Linked DNA regions of Canis lupus familiaris. The protein of the gene in region 2 purifies or fractionates together with the protein of the main gene of each other region. This does not show direct contact. Links are inferred from orthologs where the notes say so. Each region holds a gene or a part of one and is shown on either strand. Other genes may lie near its edges. The genes, in order: SAP30 and ING2.

Region 1 (4,247 bases), on a different chromosome or scaffold from region 2:
TCATTTAAAACTTCATAAATACCTCAACAAGTTGTGCTTTATTAAGTCCTGGTCTGGTTGATAGTTTGAAGTGTCTTTTGTATCTCCGAAGTGTATTTACTTGTAATTGGTATAAATCAACCTAGAAAAAATAAACATGTAAGAATTAGTTCATGCAATTTTTAAATTGTTATCTTTGATATGCATAATAGCATTTCAATTTTGGTACAACAAAAATGTAATTAAGTAACAAAAATTACATTATTTAATTAATTCCATTCCATTACTTCTTTTACATAATCAAAACTACAAATATATAGAGCACTTCAATCTTTTGAAGGTAAATACTGAGAACTGGGAGCAAAAAAAGAAGGCAATAGAGGTATAAGCATTGTGAATTGAAAACATAAGTCAAACTACAACTGCCTATTAATTGGCTATATTTAATTTTGCTTTCATTTTCAGATTTTTCGCATTAAGTATTTTTAAAATTTGTTCCTATCTTTTAATAGAAGTTTCAGAATGGAATACTTAGGATTTACATTTAACATACAGAAACTTTACCTCTGGCGTATCGATATCTTGAACAGGTGAATCTCCTCCATCATCATCACTCCCTTTTCTCTTTCTTCTGTTTCGAACACTCTGAATTAAGTTTTTATGATAATCACAAATGTAAAGATGCCTTGCCTAAAACAAAAAAGTTTCACAGACTACTTATTATTATGTAACGTGTCTACGTATTAGTAAAATACATAGGGCACAGTGAATTATTAAAAATAAAAAGTCAAAATAGGCCATTGTTAAGACAACAGCATATTTCTATGCTTAAGTCCTGTATTCAGTTAGAACATACCGTGTCTGACAATAGGGTTAAGAGGATTGGAGAGTGGGGTGGGGAGGAGTGAAAGGAAGGAAGGAAGGGAAGCAGACAAGCAGAATGAGAAATTGCAATTGTCTGGATTTTTTAATTAAACTGTAGTGAGGGTGAATTAGATTTGTTAGGTCACGCTGTTTTTTTAATAAGTGGAAAGATGATGTTGCCCACAATTCTGCTACTGACAGTATTTTCTCTAAAGAGCACATTTTAGTAGCTTCATATCCTTTCTCAGTACTCAAATTATAATCCAGATACAAAACTATCCATTTTTACAAACGAGCTACCGATTTCATATACTACTTATATTTACATCTGAATTACAAGCTTCTGAGTATTTAATGAATGTATTTGTCTGTATTACGTTTTTTTCAACCAAAGGCAATGTGAAACTATTCAAGTTTACTTGAGAAGTGTCTCCCAAGCATGACTGAAGAACTCTTTAACAGGCATAATAGATCACAAACTTTGCAAAAGCTTCAATTAAATGTAGTCTTGAGCGCTGTATGGTAACATCTGAAATACTGGGCTGCATTATTAACAGTTTAAACTCCTTTAAAAAACAACAACAACAAGCGATTAAAGACTAAGGCTTTGAAATTTAACTTGTAAACGAAGTCCAAGTTAAAATTATGCAGGGCGTATGCTAGGTTCTGGCATCTTGTTATCCATTCACCGCCAGCCAAAACTCCGCAAAGTGCCAATGGTTGTTTCTGAAAACCTCACAGATGGTCAAAGAAACACAAGAAACGGACGTGTACAACAAGGACGGTAAAGGAAATCCGGATGCTGCCGAAGGGGTGGCAGCGCCGCAGAGGCAGCGGGCTCCCCACATTCCCGGCAGCTGCGCTGGATGCTGGCGGCGTCCACCAGCCCGGCGGTCTGCACCGCGCGGGGTGAGCTCGGCTCTCTTCCCTCCGCAACCCGGCGGACGAGCAGAGGAGTCGGTCTCCACCGCGGCACCAGGGCCTCGCTTGCAGGACTACACTTTTGCCTACAGCCGGGGGTTGCTCCCCGGGGCCACGCGCCAGCTTGGGCAGCAAAACAAAGGAGGAGCGGACAGGCTGCAAGAAAACTACTCCGGGCCCTCCGAGCCGCGGTGCTCTTTGTTTCGTGTCCCGACCTCAGGGAAGGAGGAAGGGGTTGGACGGCGAGCAGGGCGGACACCCGGAACGGGGTGGGGGTGCGCGGGGGTTGGGTAGGAAGGGTGGGGGTGGGCACGCGAGGGAGAGGAGGCGGGGGGGGGGCGGGGGGAGCAGCGGACCCGCGGCCGGCTGGCGTGGGTCTGCGGGGGAGGCGGTCCGAGTTGCGGCGACTTTGTGGTTCGCGTCCTACCCGAGACCACGCGACGGGCTCGCGCCACAGCCAGGTCTAGGGGACCCCCGAACCGTCCGCCCCTGAACCCCGGTCGGCACCGCTCCGGGAGCCCCAGAGCAGGGCAGGGCATGGCCGTCCCGCCGTCACTCACGCTCTTCTCCAGCTCGATTTTCACCTTCTTCTGGGAGATGCTCTTCTGGATCCTCTTGCTGAAGCTGGCGTTGCCCGCCGCCCGGCCGCACCGCTCTCCGTCCTCCCGCAGGCAGCACAGCTGTCCGGGGCCCGGCCCGGCCGCCCCCGGGGGCCCAGCAGCCGACACCGCCCCGGCACCCGGCACCTCAGCCCCGGCGCCGGCCCCTGCCCCGTTCCCGGCCGAGGCGGCCGCGGCGGCGGCGGCGACCACGGCGGCCACTGCGGCGGCCGCGTCCCCGCCGCGGCTCATCTCCTCAGGCGTGAAGCCATTCATGTCTCCGCGTGCCGACAGAAACCCCCGCTCGGCTCGCCGCTCCCCCTCTCTGCGGAGACTCCGGGGTCTCCGCGGGGTCCCTCAGACACCTGACCCCGCCGGGGCGATTCCTCCAGCGGCACCGCCACACACCAGGCGTCCCGGTCTGCTGTTGTCCGCTGGCGCCGGGATGGGGGACAGCGTTTGGGGTCAGAAGCCAGAACCGGGCGGCGCCAGGAGTTAGGACTCCGGTCACTGTCACATGGAGACGCTTCAGCAGTTGGACCCTGGCGCCTCCGCCTCCCTCCGGCCCCCCGACCTGCGCACGCGCGACGAGCCCTCTCCTGCCCCGCCCCTTCCACTGTGTGGCAGGGCACCATGGGAATTGTAGTTCTTTGAGGGGGAATCACTCTGAGTTCCACCCCGAACTGGGCGCCTTGGAACTACTTATGCTAGCATGCATCGCGCGGCGACGGGCAGGGCTTCGGCTGCTAATTTATTTATTTATTTATTTTAAGTCAGTGGGAAAACAGGGGCGTGTGGTTAGGGGTGGTGATGTTTTCTCGCTTCTAGTCTCTCCCAGGAAGTTGCTCCGTCTTTCGCTACCGGGATTCTGCAGTGTTGGCGTTCTACTAGACAAAGCGGCCACCCCGCTCCTGAGGCGAGGCGCAAAATGTTCTGGGCGGGAAGCTAGGAGGGAAGGTGCGGCGTGAAAAAGTTTCGGGGCCGTTTTCTTACTGTGGAAAAAGAATTTTTGGTGTGGCCATGCTTTTGTGGGACACCCAAACCAAGGAGAACTCGGGGAAGCTGGCGCTCTTCGGGTCCGGGAGATGCCGCAGGTCCCGGGTCACAGTTCCATTCATTGACACACCAGCTGAGGCAAAAACGCCCTTCCGACCTCGACCGTGACAGGGCCGCTTCCCAAGTGCCTCAGCTGAAGGCCGTTTTTAAATCCTTGCACGTTCCTGCGAAGATCGGGTTTCATTTTGGGGCGATCAAAGTTGGCCGCTTCCTGCGGTGGAGCGGCTTCTTTCCGCCTCCACCCCCACCCAACCTTCACCGTTTCTCTTCTAAAGGCCCTAGAGAAAAGTGGGATCCAGGACCCTGTCCAGGGGGACGTGGAGCCCCGATATAGTTAGCGTGAGTGCTCCTCGGAAACTTCCCGGCGTTCTCTCTGCGGAGTGAAAGGCCAGAAAGAACCCGCATTTCCTGGGGTATCCGCCCGCGCCTGTGCGTGTAGAGTGCGTGCGTGCGTGTGTGTGTGTGTGTATCCGCCCGCGCCTGTGCGTGTAGAGTGCGTGAGTGCGCGTGCGTGCCCGTGGGCGCGTGCTTGTAGGGGGCGGGGCCGGGGAATGGAGCGGCTGATAGGAGCGCGTGCGCCTTTGCCGGTTGCTGCGCGTCACTGTGACTGTATCGGATGTGTCCTGTTTAGCCGTCCTTTGGCTTAAATAAAAATACGAACCAGGTTCTTTTGCAAGTTCTTTCAGGCTTGCTGAGTGAATTTAGTGATAGATGATTTTTTAAAAAAACCTAAATGTCATCTGCCCTGAAATTCAAAGCCATCCATTCCGTCTGTGCTTTTCAGTTCTAGGCTATGGCAAAGGGAAAAACAAAAAACAAAAACAAAAA
Region 2 (4,502 bases):
TTTCTCATTTAATCTCCAAAGCAAGCTCAATGAGGAAGGTATGTATAATTTCTGTATGTGAAGAAAATGAAGGTCAAGAGGTAACAACCCTAGACTTTGAACTCTGCCAGGTATGTACACCTGGCTCTGCTGTTTAAGCACTTTCTACTAAGCTCCACGGAAGGCACTTGAAATTAAGTATTAATTTTTAGTTCAATGGTTATTTACCCAAGAAATTACAAACAAGAATACCGGAACAAATATTGAAGTTCTCTAATAACCATATCCCATAACAAATACTTTTTTTCAATTGTGAAACTGTTGTCTTCATTTCCCTATTTCTAAGTTTTTAAGGTTACTTTTAAAGATTCTTCAGTAATTTCTGAAACTGTCTCAAATAGGTAGGAGAGAAACTTTTTTGACTTCCTATATTTTATATCACTAAATATTGCGGTAAGTATCAAACGCAAAAACAAAAAATACATAAGAACTAGCAAAGAAATAAAAACCATATGAAGTTGGATCCCGGAGCACACAAGCACATAAAGCTAATCAACATAAAACTGTGCAAGTGGAGCTTCGTAAGCATGGGCACAGACTGAAAACTAGATCCTTGTTTTTATATTAATCTTGAAAGTCACCAATCTTAATGGAGCCAAAAACATTTATAATCTCTCGATCTTTTAGAGCTTAATAGTGTTTCTCATGTTACCAAAGCCACTCAGGACAATTCTAGATGGTCAGGATGGCAGATTTCCCTGTAACCAATTTTCCCTCCCAATTCAAATGAAAATGGCTGAACTCTTGTAAATAGGTGTCCTTAAGGAAATGTAAAAATATGCAGTCTTTACAAACTTCACGGAGTTACTATGTGAAAAACAAAAAATGTTCAATCGACGATTCTCAAGCACACATGTATCTTCTTAGGCTACAATTCACGTCTGTGCTCCATGTCTGCAGAAAATACCTGGGGGGGGGGGGGGGCTTTTATCAAGTAGGTTTTAATAGAAAATTAATAATGGTACAAAAACAAGGATGTGCGCGAGAAGTAGGCATCCTACTTCCCCACCTACTTAAGTGAACAAGTCACTTCAATTCCTCGTGAATTTTAACTTGTCTGTAAAATGTTTACTTCATAGGATTACTGTGAGATAATGTTCTGGACCTGGCACAGCGATGATCCACGGTAAGTAACCACTCTTTCATTCTCTTCCCCCTCACGGAGACCGGTCCTATCAGCAAGCCTATCGTGTGGGTTAAGAAGGCAGAAATAAAGTATAGATTCGGAAGCACAGAGACACCTAAATATTCTAACACGCTGCAGGCCAGCAAACGTCACCCCAGAAGTGGGTTCCTTTGAAACTAAATCGTAACATTAGTGACCGGTCTAGAAAACAGAGGACGGGGTCCCAAGTCATCTTATTCAAGTCCGTACGGCTGTCTCCACATCACGTCCAAGGTCTAGTCCCCCATCAGGGTCATTAAACGCAAAACAGTTCCCCATATAAATTTCTCCCCTCCTAGTGGCAGACGAAAGGTCCACCAATACTGGATGACAAATGGTGCGCTCTGTCGGAAAGCCTGACTCCCTGCCTTGGGTTCCCGGGTCTGACCACGCAGGGTCGTTTTTGCCTCATCACTCAAACTTGCCGAAGGAGGGACCCGCGGGTTGAGGGACGCCAGGCGGTTGCCCAGTCAACCACCCACTTCCGCCTGGGGCCCGGAAGTGACGCAAGCCCCGGAACCTACGCGGGACCAGGGTCCGCGATGATCCCGGTAGCTGAGCGTTTCTTCGTCCTGAGTTGGTTCAGAAAGGGTCGAAAAACCACGACAAACACGTCCCAAACCTCAGCACTGACCCTGCCGGTTAGGAGCTAAGGTCCGCAAGGTTCCGACAGCGCCCCGCCGGCCAGCTCCGCCCAAGCCTTCCCGCGACCTGCCATTTTCGAGGCGGGCGGCAGCGCGCCCGCCCGCGCCCCGCCCACGCCCTACGTCACGCCCCAGGCCCCGCCCCCAGGGCCGGGAGGCCCTCCCCGCCACACACACACCCCTCTGCCTTCCCCCGCCGGGACCCCTCCCCTTTTAACCATTTGGCTGTAGGCGCCGGGGAAGGGCCGCGGCCCGGAACTTTCCCCGGGGCGAGAGAAGGGAACGTACTCGGTGCCCGAGCCCGGAGCCGGAGCGCCGAGGGAGGGACCTCCCCGAGTCCGCCTTCGCGGCCCTCTCTTGCTGCTCCCCCGCCCCCCCCCGCACGTTCCAATGCATCTGCTCCCGGGGTGGGGGCCGGAGGGGCGGGGGTGGGGAAAGCCAGGCCCCGGAGACCAGCGGGAGCCCGGCTGCGGCCGGCCGCTCACTCCCTCCACCCCCCGCCCGCTGCACGCTCCCTCGCCGGGGCCGGAGGGTCTGCGGCACGGGGCAGGCAAGCGCCGGAACAAATGCTGCTTAAAATGGCTGATTCCTCCGCACACCAGCTGCAGCCGCTGGGTCTGCAGCGGGGGCTGACGAGCGGCCCCCACCCCCACCCGCGATACCCCACAGAAGTCCTCGCCGACCGCGGCGGGGGGAGGGGGGGCCGCGAGCCCAGCCTCCAGACCCGCTCCTCCGTCCCCCTCCGCCGAGCCCCTCCGTGCGCTCGGGGGGGGGGGGGGGCCTGTCACTGGAGAAATGGAAAGTGGCACTTCCCCGGGCAGGGCAGGCTCGGAGCGACGGCGCCCGCAGGCCGGCGGGAGGACCCGCACTCGCAGCCGCGCGGCCCCCTACCTTGATATTTGTTGTCCAGCTCTCGGAGCACAGACACGTTCCTCTGCATGTCGTGGGGCAGCGACTCCACGCACTCGAGGTAGTCCTGCACGTAGCAGGTGAGCAGCCGGCTCCGCTCCCCGGTCAGGAGCGCGGCCGACGAGTAGAGTTGCTGCTGCTGCTGCCCTAACATCCTGCCGCCGCCGCTGCTGCTCCTCGCCGCCGCCGCCGCCGCCGCCTCCGCATCCAGCAGCCACACATGCACCAGCCACGGCCGCCGCGGCTCCTCGGCTCGGCAGCCCGGCGCCGCGGGGACGCCGGCAGCCGCTCGGGAGGGCACAGCCGAGTCCCCCGATCTCCACTCCCCCCAAAAGCAGCCTCACTCCCCGCCCCCGCGGGAACAAGCCCAGGGGCGGGGCGAGAGCGGGGCTCCCTCCTCTTTCCCCTCCCTCCCCAGGACTAGAGCAGCGGGGATCCCCCGGCGGAGCTGGCGCCGCGGTCCCGGGCGTGGACACCGCCGCCCCCCGCGGAGGCCCCGGCGCTAGCAATGCCGTCCCGTGGCCCGGGTCCCCATGACAAGCCCCTCGCCGCCCCCCTCTCCTCGCAGTCGCCCTCCGTGCCTGTCGGAGAGTCTCTCACTGGGCTGCCCCCGCCCCTCCGCCTGCGGCCGCGTCTGCGCCTGCGCAGGACTCGCTCCTAATAAGGCCGGGGGCCCGCCCCTACCGCCCTACCGGAGGGTTCGCATTCTCCCGCCTTCCCTCCGCCGCCCGGGCGATTGGTCTGTCGGCTCTCGGCCGCGGGGGGAGGGTGCGGAGGACGGCCAAACGGCAGGCTGCGCCCCGCCCCCTCTTAAAGGGGCAGCGCTGTCAAGCCCGCCTCTTCGCTCCGTGTCTGAATGGGACCGGGGAGGGAAGGCGGCTGGCTCCTTCTTCCGTCGTTCCCACGGGGAAGGGGACTCTCGGTGCGAGTCCCTCGGCCCGCTGTTACCGACATTTTCCTTCTGGGGGTGGGGGGGAGCGCCCTGGCGCGGCGCGGCAAGTCGCGGGGCTTTAAAAGAGCAGCGGGCGTCCGGCCGCTTCTCGCTACGAGCTGCAGGAAGGCCGGCGGGAACTACGCTACCCAGCGTGCAGCGGGCGCGGCTCCCGGCATGCTCGGCGGCCGTGTTCCCGCCAGGCCGCCGCCTCGACGCGGCCCGCGGGCCGGGCGTCCTCCTCCTCCTCCTCCTCCTCCCCTCCCGCGACGGCGGCGGCCTTCGCGCTCAGGGACGCCGCGGCGGGGGCAGAGGGCGAGGTAGGCGGCGCTCCCGGCGGGCCCCAGCCGCTTCTTCCTGTCCTCGCCGTTTAAATCTCCCTCCTGGCTTCAGCGCGCTGCCGCCCTGCCCCCGGGCCGGGGCCGGGGCGGGGGTGGGGGGGGTCTGCCGCGGCTCCTCTGCAGGATGCGTCCGCGGCCCGGCCCCCCGGGACTCCGCCGTGTCGCCCGCATCTGCCCCCTCCCGCTCCCCCACCCCCCACCCCCCAGAAACCTGTCTTGTCCAACACACAACCTTTAGAAAAGGATTTCCCCCTCCTCGGGGTGTCGGAACCGGGGAGCCTCACGTGGCCCCGCCCCCCGCCTCCATCAGTCCTTGCCCCGAGGCCGAGAACCGCAGGGGCTCGGGGGCGGGAAGCGGGGAGGCGAGCAGAGAAGCCCTGGTCCTCCTCCGTGCGGTCGACTTTCAGGGCTCAGGTTCCGCGCAGTGTTGGACGCGGCGGCCAAGCGGAGGGGCCGAGGTTGTGCCACAGGGA

Evidence for each region.
Region 1: the proteins of ING2 (region 2) and SAP30 purify together in Homo sapiens (affinity purification with mass spectrometry; 3 studies listed by BioGRID and IntAct, counting the BioPlex papers as one, with this or other methods). This does not show direct contact. The link is inferred for Canis lupus familiaris from reciprocal best matches to the Homo sapiens genes ING2 and SAP30.

The regions. Positions count from the first base shown.
Region 1 is NC_049246.1:24,120,233-24,124,479, reverse strand, and holds the start of SAP30 (histone deacetylase complex subunit SAP30), read right to left. Parts: upstream 2,954-4,247; 5' UTR 2,640-2,953; coding exon 2,325-2,639; intron 670-2,324; coding exon 544-669; intron 122-543; coding exon 23-121; intron 1-22. UniProt on the Homo sapiens protein: Involved in the functional recruitment of the Sin3-histone deacetylase complex (HDAC) to a specific subset of N-CoR corepressor complexes. Capable of transcription repression by N-CoR.
Region 2 is NC_049237.1:47,782,732-47,787,233, forward strand, and holds the start of ING2 (inhibitor of growth protein 2), read right to left. Parts: upstream 3,024-4,502; 5' UTR 2,912-3,023; coding exon 2,740-2,911; intron 1-2,739. UniProt on the Homo sapiens protein: Seems to be involved in p53/TP53 activation and p53/TP53-dependent apoptotic pathways, probably by enhancing acetylation of p53/TP53. Component of a mSin3A-like corepressor complex, which is probably involved in deacetylation of nucleosomal histones.